Linked DNA regions of Arabidopsis thaliana. The protein of the gene in region 1 interacts with the protein of each later gene in a pairwise test. Each region holds a gene or a part of one and is shown in the gene's direction. Other genes may lie near its edges.

What was found.
Region 2: the proteins of AT4G04480 (region 1) and ARL interact in a protein complementation assay, tested with the Arabidopsis thaliana proteins (one large-scale study listed by BioGRID).
Region 3: the proteins of AT4G04480 (region 1) and ADS1 interact in a protein complementation assay, tested with the Arabidopsis thaliana proteins (one large-scale study listed by BioGRID).
Region 4: the proteins of AT4G04480 (region 1) and AT1G77350 interact in a protein complementation assay, tested with the Arabidopsis thaliana proteins (one large-scale study listed by BioGRID).

The regions. Positions count from the first base shown.
Region 1 is NC_003075.7:2,225,824-2,233,360, forward strand, and holds AT4G04480 (F-box protein with a domain protein), read left to right. Parts: upstream 1-3,825; coding exon 3,826-5,022; 3' UTR 5,023-5,028; downstream 5,029-7,537. Other genes in the region: AT4G04460 (Saposin-like aspartyl protease family protein), read left to right, coding at 87-181, 263-375, 459-667, 753-817, 903-1,016, 1,095-1,159, 1,228-1,375, 1,455-1,574 and 2 more; PMP22 (Peroxisomal membrane 22 kDa (Mpv17/PMP22) family protein), read right to left, coding at 2,140-2,200, 2,299-2,384, 2,483-2,553, 2,641-2,716, 2,800-2,901, 3,003-3,101, 3,326-3,403; CRK36 (cysteine-rich RLK (RECEPTOR-like protein kinase) 36), read right to left, coding at 6,134-6,454, 6,797-6,935, 7,009-7,246, 7,317-7,527.
Region 2 is NC_003071.7:18,233,547-18,241,176, forward strand, and holds ARL (ARGOS-like protein), read left to right. Parts: upstream 1-3,242; 5' UTR 3,243-3,790; intron 3,791-3,888; 5' UTR 3,889-4,179; coding exon 4,180-4,587; 3' UTR 4,588-4,627; downstream 4,628-7,630. Other genes in the region: AT2G44090 (Ankyrin repeat family protein), read right to left, coding at 5,136-5,948, 6,019-6,451, 6,780-7,282. UniProt on the Arabidopsis thaliana protein: Promotes cell expansion-dependent organ growth, probably via a brassinosteroids signaling pathway. Acts downstream of BRI1.
Region 3 is NC_003075.7:14,365,952-14,374,325, forward strand, and holds ADS1 (MATE efflux family protein), read left to right. Parts: upstream 1-2,925; 5' UTR 2,926-3,196; coding exon 3,197-4,795; 3' UTR 4,796-5,244; downstream 5,245-8,374.
Region 4 is NC_003070.9:29,067,336-29,075,047, forward strand, and holds AT1G77350 (keratinocyte-associated-like protein), read left to right. Parts: upstream 1-2,889; 5' UTR 2,890-3,028; intron 3,029-3,146; 5' UTR 3,147-3,161; coding exon 3,162-3,320; intron 3,321-3,488; coding exon 3,489-3,540; intron 3,541-3,934; coding exon 3,935-4,001; intron 4,002-4,119; coding exon 4,120-4,210; 3' UTR 4,211-4,564; downstream 4,565-7,712. Other genes in the region: AT1G77340 (Pentatricopeptide repeat (PPR) superfamily protein), read right to left, coding at 1,285-2,493; APPR6 (Tetratricopeptide repeat (TPR)-like superfamily protein), read right to left, coding at 4,648-6,201; AT1G77370 (Glutaredoxin family protein), read left to right, coding at 6,581-6,744, 6,907-7,157, 7,252-7,307.

The DNA.
Region 1 (7,537 bases):
ACTATTCAAGAAAGGGATACATTTAGCGCCGGTCTTTTGATATGTTTGCTGATAGGTTTTGACGATAAAACTCATTGTCATTATAGGAAAACCCGCGTCTATCCGCTATGGGACGGGTGCTATTTCTGGTTACTTTAGCAATGATGATGTTAAAGTTGGTGATATTGTTGTGAAAGAGCAGGTAAAACGATTCATCCGCTTACATATTTCAGAATATTCATGTGAGTTAATATCTAACTGCTACATCTATATATCACCACAGGAATTCATAGAGGCTACTAGTGAGCCTGGTATAACATTCTTGCTAGCAAAGTTTGATGGTATCCTCGGTTTGGGTTTCAAAGAGATTTCTGTAGGAAACTCAACTCCGGTTTGGTATGAAAACGTTTTTGATCTATAATCTGATGAAAGAATTGTTGTTGCAATTCTGAATGATGAAATTTATATGATGTGTGTAGGTATAACATGGTAGAAAAAGGTTTAGTTAAGGAACCGATTTTTTCGTTCTGGCTTAACCGTAACCCGAAAGATCCAGAAGGCGGTGAGATTGTTTTCGGTGGAGTCGACCCGAAGCACTTCAAAGGAGAGCATACTTTTGTTCCTGTGACACATAAAGGTTACTGGCAGTTTGACATGGGTGATCTCCAAATTGCTGGCAAACCAACCGGTAAGTAAGCTTTTGAGATGTTTCAGTTTCAACATAAATGAGTCCTTTTACCTATGATATGACATCTGACTTCTATGTTATTCAGGATATTGTGCTAAAGGTTGTTCTGCTATTGCTGATTCCGGAACTTCTCTGCTCACCGGTCCATCGGTGAGAATCATTTCACTGAAACTTTTGTAGATTGTACACTACTTAGCACCTGAAACATGCTGAATATTTATATTTGCTTGTTTAGACTGTCATCACGATGATCAATCACGCGATAGGAGCACAAGGAATTGTAAGCCGTGAATGCAAGGCCGTGGTGGATCAATACGGAAAAACCATGTTGAATTCTCTTCTAGCTCAGGTTTAAATCACTGGTCATGACACCATTCACATTTTTATAAGCAATACAATCTTGAATTTTACATCACTTGACTTGCAGGAGGATCCGAAGAAAGTATGCTCACAAATTGGAGTCTGCGCTTATGATGGTACACAGAGTGTGAGGTCAGTACTGACACTATCCAGTCAAAACAAATATGTCAAACATAAAACTGATTCATGTCTGTCTGCAGTATGGGGATCCAGTCAGTTGTAGACGATGGAACATCGGGTCTTTTAAACCAAGCGATGTGCAGTGCTTGCGAAATGGCAGCCGTGTGGATGGAGAGCGAATTGACTCAGAATCAAACACAAGAACGCATACTCGCTTATGCTGCTGAGGTGAGTTTCGAGAGTGTCTTGAAAGCCTTATTTTGGACATAAGCATGTTAAGACTCTAATCTCTGTAAAACATGTATAGCTATGTGACCATATACCAACCCAAAACCAACAATCAGCAGTGGACTGTGGGAGGGTTTCGTCGATGCCTATAGTCACATTCTCAATTGGTGGCAGAAGCTTTGATCTAACTCCTCAAGACGTAACTACTCTCATCAGCTTTTCCTTAAGTTTTCAGCTTACAAGGAGAGTAATTAAAACCTTTTCCTTCTTCTTCTTTTGGTCGATCAGTATATATTCAAGATCGGGGAAGGAGTTGAGTCTCAGTGCACCAGCGGTTTCACGGCAATGGATATTGCTCCGCCTCGTGGACCTCTCTGGTAACTATCATCTACAAATACAATCTACTAACCAACAAACTCAAATGGGTTTTGCTCAAAATTTTGTACATCGTGTGAAAATGCAGGATCTTGGGTGATATCTTCATGGGACCATACCACACAGTGTTCGATTATGGGAAAGGAAGAGTTGGATTCGCCAAAGCTGCTTAAACAATATCTCTTCTTTAATACCCTCGTTTTTTATATGATGTTTGTGAATGTGTTTGTAATAACTTAAAACATATTGCTATCCTAGAATGGTATCATCTTAATACAGATTTTTATTTGGTTTCAGAGCTGTTTGATTTGCTTTAACTTACAGAGTACTAAGTGATCATAATGAGTCCCAAGGCTTGAGTTCTCTGTCACGATCCATGTGTTTCCTAATCACTTAGCCTTTGCCAAAGCTAGTGTCATTGACCTCGCTCGCAGGGTTAGGAAAATTCCCCTGAAAAAACAAAAGAAGAAGAATGTGGAGATTACAAACAAGTTTCAGTTGAGTAACAACAACAAGAACTAGCTGCAGCAAATGATTCATTGTCTTACCAAAAGAATGCGACCAGGCTGTGCAAGATGACCCGGAAGTGCAGTGGCACATACTTGTAGTTAATCCATCCCACCACCGGGAAAAACTGTGATTGATATATAGAATCAATCATCCAGCAATTCTTGTTATGATTCAAATTCTCTTAAAAGAGCATGAACTATATTGATGATATCTATCACTTACCGTCCATGCAGTAAGCTGGACCGTTGGATAAGTCTTCTTGATCCTTTCTCTAACAAGGGTCCAGGGAGTTCCTGTTTCACTCAACATTGCAGAACTCTTAATACCATCCACGACGGTTCGTGTTTTACAAATGGAGTGTGAAAAAGGGAGGAACTTACTTTCTATGACTACTCCATAATAGATCATGAAAAGCAAATGGTTCAATGGTGACAATGTCAATTGCTCCAGAATTACCTACCACTCAAACACACTGTTTAAGAAAACCCCCGGATCAATCTCGAACATACAAATCATCGAAAGGTATCGAACATTGTTACCTTCTTTGCAACAGTCTGTGTATCCTTCTTCCCTTTAAAAAACTTATCTAAATATGTATGAAAGAAATGCCCTGCTGGTCCAAGAAACCCACCAGCAAATATCTGTTGGAGAAATCAACACAGAACTCAAATGGTAAAACATATCAAAGAAGCTAGGACTGGCTTGAACTTAGGACTCTACAAGAGAAAGATTCAAGCTTTACCACTTTGAGAAGAACCCTTCTCAGCTGAATCTTCTGTATGCCAGAGAGCTTCTGTGATACAACATCGCTAACACCAGACAAAACTCCAGCAGTTATTGCCTACAAATCACATGAATTCCAACTACTTGTAAAACAGAGTCAACGATACTCTCAGATAATCAGATTATGAAATTGGGTTAGGTTAAAAAACAAAACTTTCAATCGAAAAACAACGTCATCGTCTCTCAATCAATGAAACTAAACCTAATCTCAAGAAAACGAAACCACCCCAGAAAACTACATCAATCGCTTCAAATCAACAATAGGAGAAGAAAAGTTTCAACCTTTGTTCTTAAAGGATGTTGTTGAAGCTGTGACAAGTACCGTTGCAGAGTCGTCTTCTTCGGTGGTGAAGATCCCATTTTTTTGGATTCTTCTCTTCGATACTCTCTCTAGTGTTTTGTCATTTGTGTCTTAAGCAATTTGACCAAATTCCTACCTACAAAACAAAACCGAACCGGTTTAATCAAACCAATATAAACCGAGCCGGTTTAGATGTAATTAAGACTCGTTCTACGAGGATGGCGGGTAAAATTGGGAGGCTAGCTTTACGGTTAGACCAAAAACCGTCACAGGAGAATCTATCAAAGCCTAATTGGTCTTTGGTCAATAATTCTCTCTTTGGTCAATTCAATTCCTTAAATTTTCTTGTTTTGTTTTATGCCTATCATCTTAAACCTATATATAACACCACACATAACATTTCTCTCTTCATTCATCAAACACAATCACAAATCTCCTGAGAGATATTAAGAAACCAACATAACCAAAAAACCTATCAATAATGGCTTCATTGCAGGTATCAAGATTAGTTCTTTCGTCATCTTCTTCTAGTACAAGACCTAAAGCAGCAGTTTCAATCCCGAAGCTACCGAAATTTCACGTCTCGGTTCCGAAAATACCGACTTTATCGGTTAAAGAACCGAGCTTTGAGTTTGTAGAAAGTCTTCCTCTTTCGTTGAAACAAAAGAGAGGTTCTGATTCTATCCAAAGAACTCGTCTCAATGCGGTTCTTGAAGAAGTTATGGATAGGATTGAGATGCACAAGAACATCGGAGATCAACGTAACAATTGGAACTCTTTACTGCTCAATTCTGTCAACATGATTACTCTCACTGCCGCTTTGATGGCCGGAATAGCCTCGGTTAACGGTCACGGTGTAGATTCTGTAACCGCTGTGAAGATAGCTTCAACGGTGTTGTTAACATCTGCGACGGGTTTTGCTGCCTTGATGAGCAAGATTCAACCTTCGCAGCTAGCTGAAGAACAGAGGAACGCGACGAGGCTGTTCAAGAAGCTGAGAGTCGAAATCGAAATGTTTCTGAGAGAAAACGAGGAGATCGAAGAAGAAGATGTTAAGGAAGTGATAAAGAGAGTGTTGTCTCTAGATAAAGCTTATCCTCTTCCTCTGATCGGAACAATGCTCGAGAAGTTTCCGGAAGAGTTTAAACCGGCGACTTGGTGGCCTGAAAACAAGGAGAAAAACCCTAAAACTAGTCTTGCGAATGGATGGAGTCAAGAGCTTGAGGCGGAGATGAGAGAAGTTGCTCATGTGGTGAAGAGCAGAGACGCAGAAGAGTATGAGAAATTAGGTCACGTGGCGTTGAAGCTAAACCGGTTCTTGGCTATCTCTGGACCAGTTTTAACCGGAGTTTCTGCTGTAAGCTCTGTCTTTATCGGTCAAGATTCCGGTTTAGCTGGAATCGTGGCGATGACTTGTGCTTCTTTGGCTGCGGTTGTCAACACTTTAGAGCATGGTGGTCAAGTGGGAATGGTGTTTGAGATGTATAGAAACTCAGCTGGATTCTTCTCTCTATTAGAAGAAACTATGAAATCGACGGAGAAGAGAGAGAACGGACAAGTGTTTGAGACAAGAGTTGCGGTGAAGCTAGGGAGAAGCTTATCAGAACTGAGAGATCTCGCGAAAAGATCGAATCTCTCTCAGGTTAAGGCCAAAGAATTCGCTAGCAAGCTTTTCTAGTTTTTCTTAGAGAGAACATTCTTCATTCTTTTCTTTTTTTTGTATAGATGAATTTGTTCATTCATTCTTTGTTACCGACATATTATATTAGCAAATTTGATTTACTTTTACAAAGAAATTTGTCTTTTGATCGAAATTTTAAACTAGAGTTTGAATGAAACATGAATCTTTGTCCTGATCTTGAGCATTTTAATGAACCGAAATGATACGACCGATTCAAAACAGAAATGAAATTATTCAACGAATTTGACCCAATCTAAAATTAAACCGATTAGGGTAAAGAAAGTTCACTAAAAAAACGGACTCAATCGAATTTTTAATTTAATTTATTAAACCAAATATTTTTTAATATAACATATCCTCAAAAAGAGTTTATATTTCACTAAAGAAAGTTTACTAAAGATGAAATTAAAGAATTTAAAATAATTATTTACTCAACTAAATTCGGGTATAATTCGGTGACAATGTTTCCATACCAAAGTAACCAAAATAAACCTAATTATCCGAATATCCACCCCAAATTACATATTTTTTGTATCTTACTCTATCCATAATCTTTTAAATTTTGGTAATTTCGAACCTGCGACTTAACATCTGTTATTGGGTTCTACGGAAGTCGTTACCGGTTAACGGTAAAATATAAATCGTGGTTTTTTAGACCACTTTTTTTTGCTTTTCTAATTTCACTTAATTTTGTTAACGCCGTTAACGATTTCCGTAACGCCCAATAACAGATGTTAAGTCGCAAATTCGAAATTACCAAAATTTAAAAGACCATGGATTTAAAAGACAACAAAAAATAATTTAGCTATTTTTATTCCAATTTTAAAATTACAGGTATTAAACGGCCAAATAAAAAATAAACCGCGGTTTTTAGGCTTTTCCTTTTAATATGTATTCTCAAAAAGAATTTATACTAAAGATGAAATTTAAAGAATTTAAAATAATTATTTACTCAACTAAATTCGGGTATAATTCGGTGACAATGTGTCCATAAAGTAACCAAAATAAACCGAATTATCCGAATACCCACCCCAAGTTACATGTTTCTTGTATCGTACTCTAGTTTCTCTAGCACCAATGCAGATGAGGTCAGAAAATAATGGAATATTCACCGAGGATACAAGACTGTAATCGAGACCTCATCCACTGAAAACGGATCTTTGTCTTTACGCTCACTCATGGACCTATTTTCAGGTTTCACCGAGAGAGGCAGAGTGACGAAAGCAGCTTCTGTAGGTTTAGGTATTGTAAAAGTACCGTCTCTTGCAAGCCAAGTTATTACAGAGTTCATGGTTGGTCTCTTTGCTGCATTCTCTTGAACACACAACAAACCAATCTGAATCAACTTTATGATCTCGTTTCTTGGATTCTCGTTTAAGTAAGGATCGATTATACTCTCAAGCTCTCCTTCTATCCATCTCTTCCATGCCTTATATCAAAAGAAAACATTCTTTATAAGTCAAGTGATATAAATTTCGTGTAAACAATTATATTTTTTTCTTTAGTATGTTTAAAATAATAACAAATTATTGTGCAAAATAAGTAAATATATACCCACTTTTTTGCATTATGAATTATTTACTTGTAATTTTATGCAAAAATGCAAATCTTGGGTTTTTGCGTTTTCTAATACAATTATGCAAATTTTCTTGATTGACAAATTTCCTGCTTAACCGCATTAGAAAACGTCATTATGCCATTATGCGTGTTACCAATCAAAGCCTAAAAGTGAGAAGATAAATAAAATGTGATCAAGATTCAAGAAGCTTACAAAAGCAGGAAGTCCTTCTGTTTCAAAGTTCTTATTTTTTTCACCACTTATCATCTCCAAAAGCATAACACCGAAGCTATAAACATCAGATTTAGCTGAGAATTGTCCATGTCTCACGTACTCCGGAGCCATATATCCGCTGCATGAACAAAAATCACATTAGTATCCATGTCTAAAGCAGAGCATTTATGTGTGAAATAGAGCAGACTTACTAGGTTCCAACTACTCTGCTTGTCTCTCCTCGAGTCTCATCCATGTTAAACAACCTCGCCATCCCAAAGTCTGCAACTTTAGGGTTCATCTCCGCGTCTAAAAGGATATTGCTTGCCTTCAAATCTCTGTGAATAATCCTCAACTGAGAATCTTCATGGAGATAAAGAAGTCCTCTTGCAACTCCTTCTATGATTCTGTACCTCACATCCCATGTAAGAAGCCAACGTTTGTCTTCGTCTACATATTTTGAAAGAACTCTTTAGTCTGATTAACAAGTTTTGTGTACATTGGTCATGTAAAGGCTTACCAAAGATAAAGTGATCAAGACTTGAATTAGGGACATGCTCGTAGACAAGAATCTCTTCATTTCCTTCATTACAGAATCCAAGAAGCTTAACTAGATTCCTATGTTGGAGTCTTGTCAAGAGTAAGACTTCATTCTTAAACTCTAGTTCTCCTTGTCCTGAGCCTCCAGCTAATCTCTTTACCGCTATCTCTTGCCCGCTCGGTAATATCCCCTGAGACCGG
Region 2 (7,630 bases), on another chromosome or scaffold:
AATTTAACATTTTCTCTTTCAAATCTTTTGTAGCAAGGGAGGTGAAACGAAAACGAATCATTAAGATACGTGCAATGAATCCAATAACCTCTATGACTAGCAGATGCATGAATTTTATTTTTGTGTTTCTGTTATGCATCTTTTTAGTTGCTTTTTAAGTCTGGTCATATCTTCGCTCAGACTTCACTGATGCAAAGCTGGATACAAAATCGACAAAAGTATATGTCCCCATATATTCCTATCTTTATACTGAAGAAAATATATACTTTAGCTTTATCTATCGCACTACTTTAGTCTTTAGAGTTGATTTATCAATTAGTTCCTAAATCAACTAATGCACATGATTTAATGTAATTAATTGTCTCTTAATTGTACGGATTAGGTGATGAAGATCCACCGTCCACCATGGCTGTAGTACCTAATTAATACCGTGTAAACTTTAAACCACGGGTATTACTTATGATTGTTATTAGAAAATAACATTAGCTTACCTCAAAAAAAATGAGGAATTTGTTTTTGATTTCTAGCAAAAAAAAAATGAAACCAAAAATGATTAGACGACTCTTTTGTTTGTAGACACAATAAATAATATAGAATTTTTGTAAGAAATTAATAGTTTAGAACAATATGCGTGTATTCAAAAAGAATATAATTAAGAATATTTGAAATGATTAAATACCAATATTATTATATTAGTTTATATTTTTAAATCAAATTACTCAATTACAAAAATAATACATTAGAAAATGATTAATTATATTTTTCTAAAGTGTTATAAAGACACCATTTCCTAACGGTATTGATTTTAGATAATAGAAAACAATAATTTGTGAGGAGAAAGTATTTAAAAGAAAACAGAAAAAGAAAATGTATAACGTAGAAGAAAGGTGGCTTTAGATTGGAGAGTTGTACGAGGAATATTAATAAGTCAAGTTGGTCGAGATATGCATTGAATCGATGGGAACGAGCCACGTGACAACGACATGTGCCGTTTCATCCACATTACATACCTTTTGAAATTATTGCTTATTTAATTCTTCTATCAACATTTTTTTTGCTTATACTTATTTTCTTCAATATATCTCATACCACTAACAATTAATAAAGGCTAATCTTAATAGAGAAATAGAATCATTCGTTTTAATAAACTCAAGTATATGTGATGAAACTGTGGGCATATCATATAAACTTGTTATTGAGCATAATAATTCATCTTATTATGTCCTACTATGCATTATGCAATGTATATAATATGAATTTTTTGTTGAATATTGTTGCAGGTCCACTATGTTCCACTAGACATGCAATCTAAGGGAGGGTTTGCGATGTTCAAGGCAATCATGCATGGGTTGCCATTTCTATATAGCTTTCCCTTTCTACAATTTTTTTCTTTCTAATTTTCTAAAAATTAAATATACACACACTATGGATGATGGATTAACCAATAGAATCCAAGGAATTACGAGTAAAAAAAACACCCTCCTATAGTTCACCTATATCTTATATCTTTCTTGGTTTTGGCTACGAATTGAAATCTTTTTCTGATTTGGATAAGAGATTGCGCTCTCTGTATACGTTCTTATATATATCACTATAATCAAATATGGGTTTTCTATAAATCTGTAAGGCATTATAAACATATGTATCAATATATTCTTAACTGACATTTAGATTGGTATAAGCAATGTTATTTACCTACATATTATCTATTTGTTTACATAGGAACTGGTGGCATCGATCCTAACCATAAGATCATGAATACAAAAAATCAAAGATATCGAATCAAGTACATATCCACAAGATAATTTGAATATCTTTTAAGATCGGGAAGATATCACTATGGTGTATATGCTATTTATATAACTGATCAGTTATATATAGTTGTTAAACTTTGTTCTAACAATTTAAAAGTCTGCATCATCTTTTTATTGACGTTAATTAAGTTTTGTTTTTGTTTAAAGCGGGAGGTGAAGTTTTGTTGTAATTATGTCTACTTGAGCCATTATAATTGTAGAATAGTAATGTCATTTCCATTGGGAGTTTAGCTAGTAGTTGACGAATAAAACCATTTCTCCTTTGTAAAAAAAAGTAGAAAAGACGTAATCAATAGATGTTATACATGCGATTCATTGAATTTGGATAAATAAGTATTTTGGATTGAAAAAAAAATAAAAAATGAGTAGTGGATTTTGGTAAGCTGTCAATTGGTTAATACCAGAACGGCTGAAACTAAACTGCTTGCGAAAATTATCATGTCCCTCTTAATTAAACACCCAACGAAAAGTACTTATGAATATATCCATTAGATATTTTAATTATTACATTTTTAGGCTGTTAAACAAATAAATTATATCGGTTTACCTGAAAGATAATGAATGAAAAAAAAAAAATCTTAATATATTATTTTATGTGTTTTTAAAAATAATAAGCTGTCTTGTATTTTTAACAAATAGCATTTTTAATATAGTACGATATTTAATACTATATCACTTTTTTGTTTAAATCATACTAAACAACACCTAGCCCTTTTTAAAATAAATAATAATAATAATAATAAGACCACTTATGTATCCTTTATGTATCATGTAAAATACAAAATTCCCTAATTATATAAATTTAAGTTGGCATTTCTTCTGACTATTAAAAGCATAAAACGAAAGAGAAATAAATATTGGACCAACTGTCCCACTAAAAACGATAATATGATATAGCCACCACATGAAATGCCGAGAGGAATAACAATATGGGTCATCATCGGTCGATAACACATAGACAACATTATTATTAGGTTGGAAAATTTAATTAATTCACACACATATACATATACATATTATACAGTTCTATGACAAAAAAAAAGTGATAAATGTTGAATATATTTGTCAAACTAATTTGGTAATTCACCGAATTCAATCTATTGATTATTGCTATCACTTCTCATATTCAATTTTTTGTGCGCGAGGAATTCGAATCTTTAATTAGTACGTTTCCCCGTCCATAGTTTCAATAGATTACAACTCTAAATGATTATATAAAACAAACAAAACATTATCATATAGAACAAAGATTATTTGTGATAACCTAAAATATTTATCTTATCTTTAATTATTTGTTTCTAGTATTATTAATGACTGATACTGCTTTATTTATTTCAACCAAACAACTTTGACTATAGTCTACAATAATACACGATCAACGTTATAAAAGTTTGGATTCGTTTTAATTAAAAACCACCATTGAATATTCCAAAAGAAACTGAAACCTCCATCTCAAACAGAGGCTTACCCCAAATAAATTCCATCCCACGTCATCATCAGAGAAAGTGTCTAGGGGAGAAGAACCACTGTGATTGTGGAAAGAGAGAGAGAAGTGTAAAGTAATCAAATAGAGAGATTTCAATTTTGTTCAGACCTTCCAGAATAAGCAGCAACTTGCCTCTCACACTTGTCACCCCCAAAAGAGAAAAAAAACATTAAAATTAAAATCTTATCATTTTAGAAAAATCTGTAAATTCAGTGAACCTTCCTCTGTTTCCTGTTTCTTCTCTGATTCCACAGTCTTAACCCCAAAAACATTATATTTATTTCTCTCATTATCTTTTACCATCTATTTTTATACCAATTCCTTTTATCAAAACCACTCCCACTTTATTTCTTCTTCTCTGGTTTTCTTACCAAAAGAAACTTTCTTCGTCTTCCTCTGTATTTAAGCTTTAACACCCTGTTTTTGGTTTCCAACGTTCAATCTTCATCTTCTTCTCGCTGAAGGTGTGTTTGGCTCTAACGGTTTAAAGGTACTTACTTTCGATTCTTTTGATTCATTCTCTGCTCATGTTTTTGATTGAATCACAACGATTTACTGATCAAAACTTGGACAAATTTTCTCTTGCAGCTTTCTTGAAACACCAATTGAATCTTTTCTCTCTACCGGCAAAAAAAAAAGATTAGTCCTTTTAGGTCTGGAAACGCCAAGATCACTCGTTCTAAACCTTAGATTTTGTCTGCATTTCGGGATAATCATTTCATCGTCAGGGTTCTTCAACCAAACTACATTTACAGAAGAAGAAGAAGAAGAAAAGTTCGTTACTTTTTATGCGTTTGGATAAACAAACTCAAGTTTCTTCTTCATACATCGATCTGATTTTCCAGATCAAACTTCGAAAAGAGAAAAAGCCTTCTTTAAATGATTCGTGAGTTCTCCAGTCTACAAAACGACATCATAAACATTCAAGAACATTATTCTCTCAACAACAACATGGACGTGAGAGGAGATCATAACCGGAAAAACACGAGTTTTCGTGGTTCAGCTCCAGCTCCGATTATGGGGAAGCAAGAATTGTTTCGGACATTGTCGTCGCAGAACAGTCCAAGGAGGCTAATATCAGCGAGTTACTTCAGTTTAGAATCAATGGTTGTGCTTGTTGGTCTCACAGCATCTCTCTTGATCTTACCGTTGATTCTTCCACCATTGCCTCCTCCTCCTTTTATGCTGCTTTTGATTCCTATTGGGATTATGGTTTTGCTTATGGTTCTTGCTTTCATGCCTTCTTCTAATTCCAAACATGTTTCTTCTTCTTCCACTTTTATGTAATAAACGTTTCTTTAATTGAAGAAAGAAATCCTTAAACAAAGGGAGGTTTTGTCTATTGTCATTACATAAGGTTTCAGGGTAAGAGATTAATATTTCATTTGTAAAACTTGTTTTCTTGATGCAGAATTATACAACTATTTATATAAATAAAGAATGATTAATAGTTTCATGATTTCATTTTTCTCATGGTCTGAAGCAAAACCAGGATGAGAGATTGGTACAAAATGTAAGAAATTGAAAGGCTTTCATTACAGGAGAGGAGACCAATAAGAGTCTGAGACAGAAGAAGTGAAATAATATGTAGATGAAATAATATAAAAGGCTTTGATTATCTCTCCCATGGTTTAGGATGCATAAAAGACAGATAGAGAGACTTTTGACAAAGACATTCTCATAGCAAGTTTGTACAAGTCTACAAGAACCCTTTTTCATCATCTCACAACCTGGATCAGAATCCATAACTATAGTGGAATGGTTGTTTTTCAGTTCTTATTTTATCAACTATTTAAAACGAGTTGTGTTAACTCAGATGCTGAATCCATTGTTGCTCAGTGTAAAGAAGCTTTGACCAAAAAAAGAGGAAGGTGATGCTCCAAGATGGTCATGAGCTGATGATGACCTTTCTTTACTTCTTCTGTGTCTACATCGAAGCCTTCAAGCTGTGTTGCAGCTTCCACGAGCTGTCCTCTTAGCTTTTGTGAGAGCAGCCGGCCACCCGCATCCACACACTCTCTGTACAGTGGCATGTAGGCGATTGCCACTCTCAATGGTGCTGGGAGATCCTTTAGACTTATTGCAGACTCTCCGAGTTTCAAAACTCTCATGAAATTCATGTAATTTTCCCGGCTTTCCTTCAATCCTTGGTTGAATGCAGCTTCTGACCACTGTTCTTGGAGAAACGATTTGAGGTCGGAAGGAACAGACTCGTCTTCTGACTTTGCAATGGTGTCTGCAACTGAATATGTGGCTGCTGGATCCCCGAGGAAATCTGATTTAAGGAGAAACTCTACTCCGTGGAGGGAACCACCACTTCTTTCACCGGCTGCTTTGAGGATTTCAATGCTGAGAGCAGTAAGGACGGGTCTTGGAACATGAGGAAGGAGATAAGCAGCAACCTCAACCTGGCTGCTTGAAGTGGCGGCTGTGAGAGCTAAGCATAGCTCCATTTCACGACAGCCTCGTTTCACAAACCATTGAACAACTTGCATGCAACCTCTCTCCGCTGCTCTCATCAAGGGACCCAAGAAAGCAATTGCATGACCTTCTTCTACAAGGCAATCCATCGTTTCGATTTTACTATAATGCGAGGCAAAACCAAGGGCTAAGTCAACATCCACGTCTAAGCTATTCCTTTGAGCAATCTGCACCAGGAAAAAGTTCAGTTAGATTGCACAAAGTAACTTGCAAGCAGTCATTAAGAATTAGATTTACCTGCAACAAGATGCGCACAAGTTCTGTGCTCCCAAAACGAGAAGCTTCAAGGAAGCACTGATTTACATTATCTGCGCCTCCTTCCACCAGCATACCGAGCAATCCATGTATGACAGTAGCTGAAATTCCAGAAGCCCAGCCAGGATTAAACGAGGTAGAGAACAGCGTAAGCGGGAAGCAAGCTGCATCAAAGGCTTCTGTGAAATCCTTTCCTGATAGATGGTTTCCTGCAAGATCTAAGAACATCTTGAAAGCAGAAAGCTGGAGTTGGATCTCAGCAGCTGAGTCTTGGTTAGCTTTATCTCTAGGGCCCTGGCATCGGGAGTGAAAACCTATACATTTGAGTGCCCATTCAGTAAACTTTTGAACTTTAGCACCAGCTTCTGCTTTGAGGACCTCATCACCGTTACACTCTTGGAGACGCTCGTGCAACCTGGAAACGCCGAGATGGGAAAAAATGGATTTATATAGAAAGGGTATCTCACCCTTCCCAGCTAACCAAAGATAAACCAGGAGGAATAAGAACATAAGAGATACTATAGATTTAACAAAAAGCGATTTCTAAGAAAAGTTAACAACACTAAAACACTTGCAGATGTAACCAACCAATGTAACATGTAAGACACAATGTAGTGATCATATAAAGCAAAAACAAGGTATCATAACAGAAACCAACTTCTCCAATAATCCAAAAGTGTTTTACCATAATTATACTGAGAAAAAGGGGAAACATCTTATAAGAGAAAGTATCAAATGTGTACCTTTGAGCCATAACAGTTACAGTATCAGCAAGACTCACAGTCCGGCTATGGCAAGATGAAACACAAGAAGCAAGAAAGGAAGTCCTAAGTGTAGCTCTAGTATAGTCCTGAGCACCATGACATATGATCTTAGCAATCAATTCAGTGATTCCCCGTAACTCATGCTCTGTGCTCAAGAACCAAATAGAATCTAAACTAATACACAACAGATCATTCAAAGTTTGTGGATCAGCCAGCTGAATAAATCTCTCTGAAAGTTGCCAATCCTGTGAGCTAACAGCACCTTGGAAAAGCCGTCCCAATTCGATTCTATCCTGTCTATTAAGCTTCTTCTGTTGCTCAAGACCCCTGCATTTCAGTATCTTTGCAGTAGATCCAGAGCATTTGGTCGGTTGAGTGATGATACCTACAAGAGGTGACTCTCTTGCAAAAACAACATCACTCTCTTGAGGTTCCAAGTCAGAACCTACAGGCTCATCAGGATACATGTCATCGTTCTCCATCCACTCAGATTTCCAAAATCAATAATCCAAAAACTTGTTTTGACATTCGAAAAACCTTTGCAATAACAATACTGTATACCAACAAATCCCTTCCTCCTTGTACAAGCAAATGTCTTGTACCAAAATCAAAATCCAGACTTGCGCAATCAACCACTCCAAGAAATCAAACCCAGGAAGAAAAGAAAAAAGAGACTAGAGATTTCGTTCAGAAAATGCGGTAGAATCGATTCACGAGAGCGAAAAGGGTCTGAATTTTAGCAAAACGTAGTCAACAGAAGCATCCAAACCTTAAAATAAAATAAAAACAGAAACTGATCCCAATCAGAATCCATGGCCGAGCACAGCAAT
Region 3 (8,374 bases), about 12 Mb from region 1:
TGTGTTTTTTAAAGAAGAAAAATAATAGATTTTAGATTCCAGCTGTGAATTTAACCCTTTCTCGATCGAAAGTCTATTTTGGCGTTTGTTCCGTGACCATCCTCTCGCTACGTCACCGTTTTCATATCCATGCAAAATATTTTGAAGATAATATTTCTCTATCCCCCCACTTTTCATTGATTATCTACCCTTTATATATACACATTTCTATGTTTTTTGGATCGAAACAATTTTATTTTAAATGAATAAAGTATAAATGAATATCCAGTTAAATCATCGGGTCCATTCCACGGACAAAAAATTGTATTATTACTTTCACATCATACCCGATTAAAACAAGTTTCTATCAATTTTTAGAATTTTGCTTATTATTATTGGTGTTGCTGTTGTTATTGTTGCAGTTGCTGCTGCTGCGATATTAATTGATATTGATTATTGTCTGCATCATAATGATTATGAAAAATGGGGAAACAATATACACAACCAGTTGTACTATGTCACACTTTCAACATTAATTCTTGATCAAGAAATTGGTGGAATGTTATCTTCTTTCATATAAATAAATTGTCCCCTACCAAAAAGTATATACGATAATGCATGGCCAATAATGATGCATTACGTATAGGCCCCTCGTTGAAAGTTACCAAACTTCTCATTCAAAATATTTTATATTTGTTGAGATTTTTCTTAAATATATGTGTTTTAGTCGGATGTAATCCTAGATTTTATAGCCGTTTTGGTACTATTGCATTGTCAAGTTTAACTGCTGCGTGATCGTACCTTTTCGAAACCACACCAATACACTATATATTTCTAATTCTATCAATGTGATTACTAATTATATGGTTTAATTATAATACAAGTGACATATTATCTTTAAAACGATTTGTATTTAATGTAAAATTAATTTATCTTAAACGCACAACATTTATTAGAGGGAAAACTATATGTGAAGATATATGAATTATTTTCGAAATGATTATTGGAACGTTTCAAAATGAAAGAATGGAGAATATTTTAAAAATCAGAGGCTTAGTAGGGCGAGGCCCCCTCTATGCCGTGAACGCTCACAGGAGCCTTACTTATTTTATCTCTTTGTTTCAAATCTTATCGACGGAAAATTTCTATAACCCATTTAACAAAAAAAAAAAAAATTATAACCCACAAATGATTGTATAAATAGTTTACAAAACGATAGGTATATATGTAGATATATATAGTACTGTCTATGCTTATATACTTTTACAACCCGGTTTAATATTTATATAATTACCATTTATCTCTTCATAAATTATCATATTAATTTATGTAATAGCAACCCCCAACTGTATTTATAAAAAAAAATAACATTATGCAATCGTCAACATTACTACAAATCTATATATTATTTATAATTAATTCATCTATAAGAAACTTGCTATATGTTTTCATTTAATATTGGTTGGAAGGTTATTTAGTCAAAGAAAAGCCATTAATAGCTGGAGATTTAAACTCCATTGTGAATTACAAACATTTCTTAATATGCAAACCATTACGAAGATGTATCCGGGACTTAAGTTGCTGTTTAAGTCTAATTTGTTCACCGGATGGAGACAAAACATGAAATAACGGCTAAATTAATTGTAAACCATAGTTTTCAAGCTTTGATTAAAGAGTCAAGCGAAACATTAATTTTAGTGTTGGGTCTTTAATTATAAATCACCGATTTGCATTCAAGTTTTGATAAGATATCTAGTTCGACTCTTCGTTCGGTTTTGGTTTAGTAAGTAAACAATGGTAGCGACGCTAAGCATGGTTTGATTCATAACTTCATGTGGTAGGTTATGGCCTTGGACTTTACTTTGGTCGAAAAAATATATCATTTTAATATTTTCGCAAAATAATAATATATGTTTGATTTATTCTAAAATTCAATATAATTTACCAAATACTATATTTAACTATATAACTATTTCAAAAATAGTGTATTTAACAGAGATAAAATTCTATTTGTATAAGAAATTCAGCACAAAATAGTTTAAAACAAAAAGAATTTTACAAGGACATTTTCGTGAATTTTAAACAAACACATTAAAAATAAGAAGAAGACAAATTAAAAAGAAATTCAAAGTTAAGTAAATGCAAACACATTTTTTGTGCCAAATGGTCGTTTAAAAAGGATTCGAGAGTTCACGTGCAATGAACTTGTACTATATATGCTAATCAAAATCTACTTACTTTAAATTATTTAGACGTTACATTGAACTGTCTTTAGATAAAAGATGTACTGTAATATTGGCCTTGTCTATCTTAATTCATAATTTTATTTTAGTATACCTAGATTATTTTTGCTTATCCTTTACTGATTTTACAAAGTATTCAAGACCATAAACACTAGTATAGTAGTATTGAACTAAACTTAACTAGCTTGGATTTGACCAAGATCTATGCAATATATTAAGAACTTGTTATACATATATGTGGGTTAATAAGCCATATATACCTACACTCACAAATCTTGAATATAGATTGTGATACAACAGCAATATTAGTACAAACCATTGGATGCTCTACAATGTTTTGTCTAATTGACCAAAAATAAAATTTAACCTCATATCTTTCAACCACTTTTTTCATAAGATTAAAAAGTTTTGTCATATATTCTTAATTTTTTTCCCTTGACCTAGCTAGTAGGTTTTCTAAAATTTCGGATTTGATACGTATATTCTTATAGTTTGCTAATACGTATCGGATACAGCATCTTTGTGTATGGTCCACCAGTAAATTACATTTGGGTAAGTATTTGATTTTAGTTGATTTTTTTCCAACTTATGTCACAAATCATTCATGTATCAAAAAAGTTGATACATTGTCAATTTACTATTAATGTATTTATCCATATAAAGTGACTTCTAAAAGTATTTTAAATATACAAAAAAAAAGTAGCTTAGATTCTTTTTCATGAAAAAATTTCGAAAAATTAAAAATGAAGAAAAAAAAAATCCTGCCAACTCCTTTATTAAGATGGTAAGAGAGAGCTCTGAGAAGAGAGAAGCAGCACCAAAAAAAATTCATATCTCTCTTTCCTTTCAATTTTCTCAGTTGTTAAAACCTCTCATACTCATTAGAGAGCTCTTCACGAGAGAACTCTTTCTCTTTCCCATTAAAGATCAAATCTTTCTTCTTCTTCATCAACACCATCATCATCATCACCGTCATGTGTAACCCATCAACAACAACAACAACCACCGGTTCAGAGAACCAAGAATCTCGAACCGGACTCTTCCTCGATCTCTTCTCGATCAATAGCTTTGAACCCACAAAGAGAAATCTCCGGCATTGTGAGAACAGAGGATCTCCTCTTATGGCAGAAGCTGTAACAGAGGCGAAATCTCTCTTCACGTTAGCTTTTCCGATCGCCGTGACGGCTCTTGTCCTCTACCTACGCTCAGCCGTATCAATGTTTTTCTTGGGTCAACTTGGTGACCTCGAATTAGCCGCCGGTTCACTCGCCATTGCCTTTGCTAACATAACCGGTTACTCTGTTTTATCCGGTTTAGCTCTTGGTATGGAACCACTCTGTTCTCAAGCCTTCGGTGCTCACCGCTTCAAACTCCTTTCCCTAACCCTCCATCGAACCGTGGTTTTTCTCTTGGTTTGTTGCGTACCGATCTCGGTTCTCTGGTTTAACGTCGGCAAAATATCGGTTTACCTTCACCAAGACCCCGACATCGCGAAATTAGCTCAGACATATCTCATCTTCTCCCTACCTGATCTTCTCACCAACACTCTTCTTCATCCAATCAGAATCTACCTTCGTGCTCAAGGCATCATTCACCCCGTAACCCTAGCTTCTCTCTCCGGCGCTGTTTTTCACCTCCCGGCTAATCTTTTCTTAGTCTCTTACCTCCGTCTTGGTTTAACCGGCGTAGCAGTCGCTTCCTCCATCACAAACATCTTCGTCGTTGCTTTCCTCGTTTGCTACGTCTGGGCGAGTGGTCTTCACGCGCCTACATGGACTGACCCGACCCGTGATTGTTTCCGCGGGTGGGCTCCGTTGCTGCGTCTCGCGGGACCAAGCTGTGTCTCCGTGTGTTTGGAATGGTGGTGGTACGAGATCATGATCGTTTTGTGTGGTTTGCTCGTGAATCCAAGATCGACGGTGGCTGCTATGGGCGTTTTGATCCAGACGACGTCGTTTCTTTATGTTTTCCCGTCTTCTCTTAGCTTTGCTGTCTCAACTAGAGTCGGAAACGAACTTGGAGCCAACCGTCCCAAGACAGCAAAGCTAACGGCTACGGTGGCTATCGTTTTCGCGGCGGTTACAGGGATTATAGCGGCGGCGTTTGCTTACTCAGTCAGAAACGCTTGGGGAAGGATTTTCACCGGAGACAAAGAGATACTCCAGCTAACAGCGGCGGCGTTACCGATATTAGGTCTATGCGAGATCGGAAACTGTCCTCAGACGGTGGGATGCGGCGTCGTGAGAGGAACAGCACGACCGTCAACGGCGGCGAACGTGAACCTTGGAGCGTTTTATCTGGTGGGCATGCCGGTGGCAGTGGGTCTCGGGTTTTGGGCCGGAATTGGGTTTAATGGGCTTTGGGTAGGACTACTTGCGGCGCAGATTAGCTGCGCAGGTCTTATGATGTACGTGGTGGGGACCACAGATTGGGAATCGGAGGCTAAGAAGGCGCAGACGCTAACGTGCGCTGAGACTGTAGAGAATGATATTATTAAGGCGGTGGTGGCGAGTACTATAGACGGTGAGTGCGATGAGGCTGAGCCGTTGATTCGCATCACGGTGCTTTATTAATATTAATTAAGACAAAACAAAACAAAATTATAATCATCATAATTATTCCCATCTCTTTTCCATAGAAGGAGAAAGTTTTGCCTTTCTTTGAGAAATTTAACATTTTCTTCTTTTTTTGTACTTAAAAATTTCTTTTTTTTTATCTCCTTATTTTTTCCGATGCCCTTATGATTGGCCGTTTATATGGAGTATCTATGAGTTTTTTTTTTATAAACTACTACATATGCTAAATACTTGAATAAACTCACATGAATGCAAAAAAATAATCACATGATTTTTTTTTTGCTCACAACTAAACATTTAATTACACCCAATCTGAGACAAAAGATGTTGGGACCATATAGCTGGAGCGACAGAGAATTAATTCAAAATAATTTTTGAAATGTTTTTGTAAGTTAATAAGATAATATGGAGAGAAGAATTCACTGTTGAATTGTAGAGACTTATTATTATTTGAAGGAAAAAATCTTACTAATAAATAGAAAAAAATGGGTGATAAAAAAAGGAAAGAGAGTAATATGGTAATTTGGAAAAAAGTGGCAACCCTGTGGGAAACAAAAACTTGTGTCTCAAAGATTCAGACAGGTCTGAATGAATGTTTTGGATTCCCTATAGACTATAGAGTGCTGTTTTGTTCAGAGATGAGAGAGAGAGTGAGTGAGAGATATCAAGTCCCAAGGACCATTGTATTGCATCATCTCATAAATTATTCCTACATTTTATTTTTATTCTCATCATAAATTATTTTATCCATATAATTCTGCATTTCGATGGGTATGGTTTCTAGTTTATTATTCTTATTATATAAAAAATAAAGTTTTAAAGTTGACGATAAAATATGTTATGTAAACTTCACTATAGATATTTTTTTTCCATTTCATTCTATCATAGTGAAATTTGAGAATGTACATTGTATAAGATCATACACTTTTTTTTTTGTCGACAAAAATCATACACTGAAAAACAATGAAAGTTGTTACAAATATAAACAAACAATAAATCAAATATAACACTTTCTCCTGTTGTTTAGAACCTTTTCATATGCATATCAGCATATGCATTAACAAATTATTGTGATGTATTATGATTTCATACTGAAAATTAACGAATTCGTTGTAAAATAAAATAAAAATTAATTCATTGTAAAATAAAATAAAAATTAATCAAGAGATACCTTATGAATTTGATGTGTTGTTAATTTCCAATTATTAAATATAATATATTCCCCTTCTTTTTCTTTAGATATCTTTATTAGTGGTGCCAGGAGAGATTTAATACAATGATTTAATGCTATAGTTCATAAATTTTGTCAGTGCAATAATTAATTTATTAGTACCACATCCTCATTTTTTGGGCATAATTTGGCACCACATTTATAAGTTAGATAAAAATAGAATGCCCAGCTGCGATCCATAATACCCACTGTACATCATAATGTTTATATATGTTTCTGAATACCATAGTTTACATTGGTAATGCACAAAGGGATTTATATTATTACATTGAGTTATAAATATTATTTGATATTCACTAATATTCAATAAAAATGGTGGTACTGCCTCCTCTCAGAATAACTTCGTACTACTAAAATCTTATATGACAAATTGGGTACCAATTATTGAAGTACTGAACTTATCCTCTGAAGCATAATTACAAAAAAAAAATGAGGAAATGAGGACAAATTTTGAAAACAGTGGAAGAATCTTTTTAATTTTTCATTCAATTTCAACAAAGTGCAAACAAATTTTTCAGGAACTATTTAATATTTTCGTACCAACCAACTGAGAATCAATCTTTAATTCCATACCAAGAACATACACAAAATTATTGTAGTATTAAAAGATCACAGTTTGCAAAGTGAAACGTTGATTTTTTTTTTTTTTAAAACCTACAAATTTTACTATCAATCCGATAGGATAAAAAAAAAAAAAATTCCACTGTGGTCTTTATTTGGCCACATCTCCATATACAGATTTGTGACAGAAGCATCTCCGAAATTTTCATGAACCATCATTATTTCGGGTGATATATAGTACTATAACATTAATAAGCCTTCAATTCTTATTCAAACCTTAATATAGCTAGCTAGGTGTTATATATAGAAACTATAGACCTATTTCTCAGGTTTTCTCATTCTATGAATCACCTAGAATGAAAAAGATTCCGTTTTGATGAAAAAAGAATCTAAGATGTGAAAAAGTGTAATAAATGGTGAAAAATATATAGATCAAGAAAGAAGAAAAGGGTTGGAGCCAAAAGAAAGAAGAAGTTAATTTCACTGCCCCCAAAATAGATAACATATGTGTGGGGGAGAGAGGAAGAGAGAGAGAAGACAAAAGTAGTTGAGAGAGAGAGAGAGAGAGAAAGTGAAGAAGAAGCAGAACAGTGGCAGATGTCCCACAAATTAAGACAGAGCACAAGTTATATAATTGGAGTGGACTGCTCACATTCCACACGAGGGGGCCTCCCTTTATTTAGTTACCCTTCTCTTCTTCTTACTCACTATTTATTAAATTGACCTCTAAATTTTATGTAACTGAGAAGCAAGGATATTGCAATGGACTACTTAGTTCATCTATATCTTTTTCTGTTAGCCAAAACTTACTTAAAGCACTTACAAGCTACTTGATGAACTAATCCGATATATATAGTTCAGTTTTTATAGATTTTGCGGCCAACAACAATGCACTGATGAAAGAAGTAAGGATATTGCAATGGACTTCGACACGATACTTGACCAATCAACTAGCTAAAGACCTAAGAAAGTACATTCAAAGTTTCAGAGTCAACAATATAAGTGTATTAAATGCTTGGTCTATATATGTGTTGCTTTATATCAACTTATTGTTAGTAATGTTAGATGAAATGTAATGAGATATCAAATGCAAAATTTTAAACTCAATCATAAGTTTTCACGTTATTTGTAAAAGTTTACTTATCATATTAGTTATGAAACAAAAATTAAATCCTAATTAAAATAATAGTTTTTTATAGATTATATACTTAACTATGGTTTTGTTGGTATACCAAAGAAAAGTTATTGAAAAGATATGATTACGCAGATTAAAAAAATAGCACTATATTCTTGTGAGTGTTCTCTAATTTGAAGAATCTAATATTCTGTCGAAACATTAGTTAATCATATAATTGTGTCAACTCAATTTAATCATGTACAAATTTGACATTTGAGTGCTTATAGTACAATTGTAGTAGTCCACATTCTAACTAAATCCTGCTAAAACCTCAGTGCACTAATGATAATGTAAACTAATATGAAAACTATTTATTAATTTGATTGGGGACAAATCCATCTAATTAAGAACCTTGGTGGATGCTGTGTTTCACATATATTATAATTGGTGGGAGCTGTGTATATATATTGTATCTATATGTCTTTCGACAAAAAAATGTATCTATAAGTCAAAGTTATTTTATAGCTTATCTTCCTTAGCAGATCAGCTCTCTATATGTATAATTATTTATAAATATCTAGCCACTCAAACTATAGAATATATATATCCGAGTGTATCTATATGTGCATGACCATTAGCAAAAGCTATCTTTTCATGTCACATGGGT
Region 4 (7,712 bases), on another chromosome or scaffold:
ACTTCGTGAGAAAATGAGAACACATTCGCTAAGTGTGCTTACTCCGCAAAGTAAATAGTGAGACGTGGTCGGTTTCGTTTCCATAAATTTTGGACCAACTAATTTGACCTTATTAAACTTATTATTACGTCTCTAATCTTTCTCTTATCTCTTTAACCGTTACCGACATTTTTTGGGGATCTTCGTTCTTCATTTCCCGACTTCAATTATACAATTATTTCTTATGATTTTTACTCTCTTTTGCACAAAAACACACAAAATATAATATTCTTTCATGGAAGGAAAAACTTTAACATAAAAAAACTTTTGAATACCCATTGGCTATGTTACTAATACACATTCCGAGATTAATTTTAGTCCAAATGCAATTAGTTCTGCTAGTTTGAAAAGTGACTATTTTTGACTCGAACAATATGAGATACATTTCTAACATCTAGTATATGATGGTTTAAATAAAATAAAATAGTCTACATATCGAAACGTATGATGTATGCAATTTGATGGGCACAGAATCAATGTACATAGAACCACATTACACGTCATGGTCTACGATTCTTGGCTTTCCATCGACGCGTAGGAGCCAACTTCAAATGCAATTTATTGCAAACTAATTAACTGTATTATCAAAAGTCAAAACTCTCTTTTTAATCATTTCTTTCGCCCATCTTCACGTTTCCACAACTTCAAATTACAATTATATAATTGGTCACTTACTTTTTGATTTTATAAAACCAGATAAAGAAAGTAGAAACTTCAATTACATTTGTCTATGGTTTCATTTTGGCACTAGGACATACAAAATTATATCTTTGTAACAAAAAAAAAAAATACATAGGACATAACATCAAATACCAAATTTAGAATGTATAACCAATCAGAGTGACTAAAGTGGTTGGTAAAATGTAATCAATCTTTCCCTTGAAGACCTTTACTAAGCATCGATCGTGTATGAGAGCTAAATTTGCAGCCACTTTTTTCCATTACTTGGAACAACTCACAAAACCCCTCTACAAAGCCCTGTTTAAGCACACCATCAATGAGGATTTTCCAAGCGATTTCATCATCGCAATATCCACATCGAAGCAGTTTTTCGAAAACCGAGTTGACTCTCTCTTTTTCTCCTTCTTCACACAGCTTGCAAATCAACATTTTGCAAAACTCTAGTTGTGGTGAATGACCATTACATATCATATCTTCCACAACTTTTGCAGCTTCCTCATACTTTTGCAGCTTGTAGTAACATCTAAGAAGACCATTACAAATCTTCTCACTTAACGATATTCCTCATACTGTACGCTGGTTTGGAACCAATCCACTTTCTTCCATCAAACTAAGCAATCTATATGCACTATCTAAATTACCAGAGCTACACTGTCCAGCGATCAATGTATTATAAGTTATCAAGTCTGGAACCAAATTCTGCTCTAGCATCTTACTAAGCAGTCCCATTGCTTTGTGCACATTCTTCTTACAAAAACCTTTGATCAATGCATTGTATGTAATAACATTTGGCATCAACCCATTCTCCAACATATGTTCTAGCAATCCACTTGCTTCATCAAGTGTATCTCCACTACAAAAACTCTGAATAAGCACAGTATACATACAATCATCAGGCTTAATGCCACTCTCTGACATCTGCTTAAACAAATTCATAGCTTCTGACTTCTGTCCTGATCCACACAAAGCATCTATAAGCACTGTGTATGTTCGAACATTAGGACAACAATTGTCATCTTTCATTTTCACCAATAAGCTCAAAGCTTCATCGATCTTCTTTGCTTCAAATAGACCATATATAAGCTGAGTGTAAGAAACCTCATTTCTATGGCAACCGTTCTGAGTCATCTCCTTAAAAACCTTAAAAGCCGCATCGACTTCTTTTCTTCGACAATGTCCGGTAATAAAAGAAGTATATGTGAAATAATCAGGATCACATCCAGCTTGAATAAGCCAAGTCACATACTGCTTTGCTTCTACTACATATCCAAGCTTACAATACCCATTAACCAATGTGTTAAACGTGTATATGTCTGGAGAAACCAAATCCTCCAACATTTCAGTATAAAGTCTCTTCATTTCTTCGACTAATCCAAATCTAGCTAATGAACTCAACAGATTATTGTAGCATTTAGGAGTAAGTTTATATTTAATCTCGAAGCTATCACCTTTACGCATTGTCCTACAGAAATCAACAACAAACAAAGCGTCTCGCACTGAATTGCAGCTCTTTATCATTAAGATCGTGATCTTAGGCACCTCATAAGGTATTTCCTGGCTGCAGAGAAGAGTAACCAAAGACGCGTATGAAGTAACGTTGTGCTTGAAGTTTGGTATCCGAGAGATCCAATCCGAGAAACTGAGAGCTGTCTGAGGATCAAGATTGAGTGAAAACAGAGAAGAGACATGAGAAGGTGTATAGAAGGGGTAAGAGATTTTAGAGATGGATTGTTCTGCCAATTTGGTTCGGAGACAATTGAGAGTAATCGGCATGGAAGATTAGAGGGGTTAGACTCTGCTGTTGAGATAGTACTTGTAACTTTGTAAGCAGAGATGCGGCGGTGGATAATGGCCTTCGACGGAGAAGGTAGCCGGAAGAAGTAGAAGGAGATTTGGAAGTAGTAATCTCATCGTCGGTTGATTCGACGGTAAGTTGTACTTCCAGTTCAAGCAACAGTAGGGTTTAGGGTTTATGAATCAGTGAATGCAAGCAAAACCTCAAACCCGGTACAATGCTACGTTTGGTATTCTGCATTGGTTTATTAATTAAACCCAAACTCAAGTGGCATGTACAATACTACGTCAGTTGTTTGTATAAAACGACAGCGTTTGAAACCGCGACTGGTCCGTCAGGGTATATATGTAATATATACGATAAACATGTATTTTATGGTCAATGCGAATTCCCAATTTTCCCATTTCTTAAAATCTCTTCTCGATCTCCTTTGTTTCCGATTTGCCGGTCTTCGAAGTGGAACTGTGGCAGTGACGAGCGTGAGGAGAAGATCTGATCTTTAGGGCTTTCAAGGTAACTCATCACATTCTTCTATCTGTTGATTTCTCGTTTTCCGACCAGTGGATCAATCGATCAGTTTTGTACGAATTCGTGTCTGATTATCTGTTACGGTCTTAATTTGATTGTTTAGTTTGGATTTAGAAGCATGGCAGGAGCTGTTGGAACATCAATGTTAGGGTCTCTTATTGTGTTTACAGTGATCCTCTCGCTTCAGGAAATTTACAGAGGAAAATTAGCTTCTTCAGAGCTGTTCACGATCCTTGGTGGATTCACAAGCTCTCTCCTCTTTTTGTTTTCTCTCACTGTAAGTTCCTTAGAATTCCTCAACTTGATCTCGTCTTCATGGAAATGCACTACCTTTACAACTCCAATGTTGATCTGTGTCGTTAAATTTGAGATCTTTTGTTTTCTTCTCGAATTCATCTACATTTGTTGTTGACAGTTTGGTTGATGCGGTTTCTTTTACTTTCAGTTCATTGGAAATTTTCAGGAATCTTCTGGCATCAAGAGTGGTTGGGGTGCAGGTATGTCCTTGCTTCTTCATGAAATCAAATTTGTTCATACGATCAAAACCATTGGGTGTCTACTCTACCCCATTTTGTCTTCCACTTCAGAAGTTTGAGGGCTTAAGAGTGGAATTTTTGAATCTTTGATGATGATGCTCTAAGTTTACTTTCTGATAACATATTACGAAAACTCTTACTTTTATGTGTTACAAATACTCTTTTAGTGAATCAGTTGTTGGAACCAAATTTTTTTCATTCTTATGTCTTTTTCTGTATCACCTATATAAGAATCACAGTGATAAATGGCTCGAATTTGTTTGCCCCCTCCTGCTTCTGCTGTGTGAAAGTGGGTATACTCATTACTCAACAAGGGTTTGCAATGTATTGAAGCCAATTTTTGTTTCCATGGCAGTCATTCTTGCAGAAATCATAGCTCTTATCGCTGCTGGCACGGTTCATCGGGTTTGTATCACAACCTGGTAAGTGGAAATTCACTAGTTCTACTTGGTATATCCATTTACCCTGTTTAATTACTTCATTCCTCTCTTGCTAAAAGCGGTGTGGTGATTGTGATGCTGTTTCTTGATCTGCCTGCAGTTTCCTGTTCTCTGCTGGGCTATTGTACGAGGTGAACAAGATCTCTGGATACATGCTATCCAAAACCGAGTCAAAGTCTAAGAGACACTGAACCTGATAATGGAATTGATACGGCTTATTATTCTGGACTTAGATTTGTTTGGCACTTGAAGATGCAAAAACACTTTCAACATCATGAATTGTGATACTTAGAAACCCTAAATTCAAAATCCACATCTTATGCTTGATGTGAGTATTAGGTCTGTTTCCTTTGCAGCTTATAATCATAGAGATAATCATTTTAGTTGTGTCTTATGTTCTTGGAGAAACTGAATTGTGTCTTTTGGCCTCGACATCGTATCATCCGCAACCAGACACATCAAATGGTTTGTATCATCTATATTTTAATATCTCATGTATCGAAACCGCAACAATTGCTGATTCCAATTTAAATTACAACTTTACCAAGGTAAATGGAGCCTGAGCCAAATGCTTAGGATCAGCTGTTGTTAGCGTACTAATCTGTGGTTCACAGGAAATCTAAGAAAGTCAATCACACAACGGCTCATTGACCAAAACGTTCATCTTCTCATTAAGGAACTTGAGCACATCTTCTCTCTCTTCTTTGATAAGCAGCTGTCTTAATCTACCAAACGTTACACCCGATGGTCGAATCCCCATCTCGATCATCTCCTCTAACAAAACACAAGCTTTCTGAGTGGTACGCTCCTCGCACAACCCATTAATAAGAACCGAGAATGTATGCATACTAGGGAACACCCCTTTCTTCCTCATGTATTTCCACACTTTATCCGCTGTCTCCATCTCTTTCTTTTCACAAAACATCTTGATCACCATCGTGTAAGTGTCTGCATCTGGTTCACACACTTTAATCATCTTCCTAAAGACATCAAAAGCTTCGTCTTTCTCCCCTCGTTCTATTAGATGGCGTAGAATGATGTTACATGACTTGGAGTTAGGCGTCACACCTTTACTCTTCATTTCTTTCAAAACCCTATACACATTCTTCATCCTATTTGCTTTGCAAAATGCACCGATCAATGAATTGAAAACTGCTACATCGGCTTTCATTCCACTTCTTTCCATCTCGAGGAAAGTATCAACCGCCTCTTCAAGCCGGTTCTCAGTTCCATAAGTATGTACAAGCACACTATAGATAAAAGTGGTCGGCTTGCAAATGCTTGGATCCATGCTCCTCACAATGCCAAGAGCTTCATCAACTCTTCCAGCTTTACAAAGTATGTCAACCATTATACTATACGTCACTATATCCGGATGACAACCCGCATCAATCATTTCCCGGAAGACCTCTCTTGCCTTGGGCAAGTTGGGTTCTTTCCCCCATCCCTCAAGCAATATGCTATACGTTTTGGAGTCAGGCGTAAAGCGATCCCTCATATTTTCGAAAACTTCCTGTGCTTTCCTCACATTCTTGGATTTACACAACGCACTCAACAACCCGTTGAACGCCACAAGATTCGGCGGCAAATCATACTTCTCCATCACATTAAACGCGTAAATCGCCTCATCCACTTTCTGCGCCCTCGCATACTTCCTCATCACGATACAAAAAGTCTCTACATTTAGCATCTTCTTCTTCCTCATTGCATTGATAAGATCCCACATGAGCTTGTACTGCCTTATCTTCGCCGTAGACTCAATCATCATGTGGTACGCACGAACACTATGCTCGTAATGCCGTTGCTTCTCAGACCATTGGAAGAACCTGTATGTCAACAAACCAGCATTCCTGAATCTATTTAAAACATCTTCTACAACTTCTTGTGAAACCCTTAACCCACTTTGATCTAAAGCCGAGTCAAGCACCAATTGCGGAGAAGACATCAATACTTTAGATATGTTCTTCGCCACATCCGCAACATCTCTCACTTGTTCGCTTGAACTATACAGCCTCGCAGACAGAAAACTCTTACAGCAGAATCTGGATTGACGATTGATAATTCTGATCGTCATGTTGAATCTAACCCAGACCGTAGCAGAAGAACTACATTCCCATCGCATAAAAGAAAAAAAATTAACCAGCTGACGAAAATCAACTGATCTAATCCTAAAACGCTTCATTGAGGCATTTCGTCAAACAGTTGATGAACATTATATTATTGTGCACATAAACAAATACACAAATCTACTTGATCAGAAAAGATTATGTATTTACCTGTATGAATCAAGTGGTGTCTGTTTTCAGGAACTGTGGTTTTTGTCACCGGAGAATAATCCACGCGGCGACGGCGTCGAATGACGAAGACTGAAGAGCGACTAGTATACGCCAACGTTTTGAAAGTGAGATAAATTTGCCACGTGTCATTTTTGTCAATGTCACGTGTTCTTTTACTAAGAGCCATAAATTGGAACCTAATTAATGGTCCAAATCCAACAATAAATCACCTAACCAAAAAAATAAAAGATTTTTACATTCGACGAGACCGTGATCGAAACGGCGATGGTTGACCAGAGTCCTCGCCGTGTTGTCGTGGCGGCGCTCCTATTGTTTGTGGTTCTGTGCGATCTTTCGAATTCTGCGGGAGCTGCGAATTCTGTGTCAGCTTTCGTTCAGAACGCCATCTTGTCCAACAAGATTGTCATCTTCTCCAAATCCTACTGCCCGTAATTAAATTTCACTCTTTCTCCTAATTTGAAATTTGCAATTTAGGCAACTTTCCAAGTTTTGGTTCATATCTAGCTTTCCTTATTCATTGGCACGATGGCGGAATTCGAAATTCCAAGACTTTGTGTTGAAAGTTGTGAATTTTGTTTTGGATGTGTTAGGTATTGTTTGCGGTCGAAACGTATATTCAGCCAACTTAAGGAAGAGCCATTTGTTGTGGAGCTTGATCAGAGAGGTATCACTTTCTTTCTCACCCAACTGTTTATGAGAATTGAACTGTTTCTTAAAACTTCTGAGAGATTTGTTTTTGCAGAGGACGGAGATCAAATCCAGTATGAGCTTTTAGAATTCGTTGGTCGTCGTACTGTCCCGCAAGTTTTTGTTAACGGCAAGCATATTGGTGGATCAGATGGTATGATGAGCTCACTATCTCCTCCAAGTTTCATTCTTTTGTCCAAATTTCCCTTGTAACTCACAAGCCTTGGCTGTTTATCTTGTTGCTTCAGATCTTGGAGCTGCTTTGGAGAGTGGTCAGTTGCAAAAGCTTCTTGCTGCAAGTTGATATTTGAGGACCTCGAATGTGGAATCTACAGTATGTGATTTACAGGAATTAGAAATCTTTGCTAGTTGTAGACTGAATAAGCGAATTGATATGTATGACTCAGTTATGTAAGTTATGATGGCATTGATAAAGTCTTGATCTTTTGTTACTGCACTGCTCTGGTGATTGTTTCGCTTAAATAATCCATACTTGTGTGCCTTAGTGAATGGTTCATACGGCAAATATCAGATCATGGAAAGAAGAGCAAGTACAAGAACTTGTTATTGAAATTTTACCACAATGGTAATATACTATTATGGTGCTAGTTCATGATTCTGTTGCAGCACATGACTCTGTCATTAATCGAAGATTTACTCATTAGGACTACAATTCTTGCCTTCAGGGTACAGAGAAGATTATAGAGAA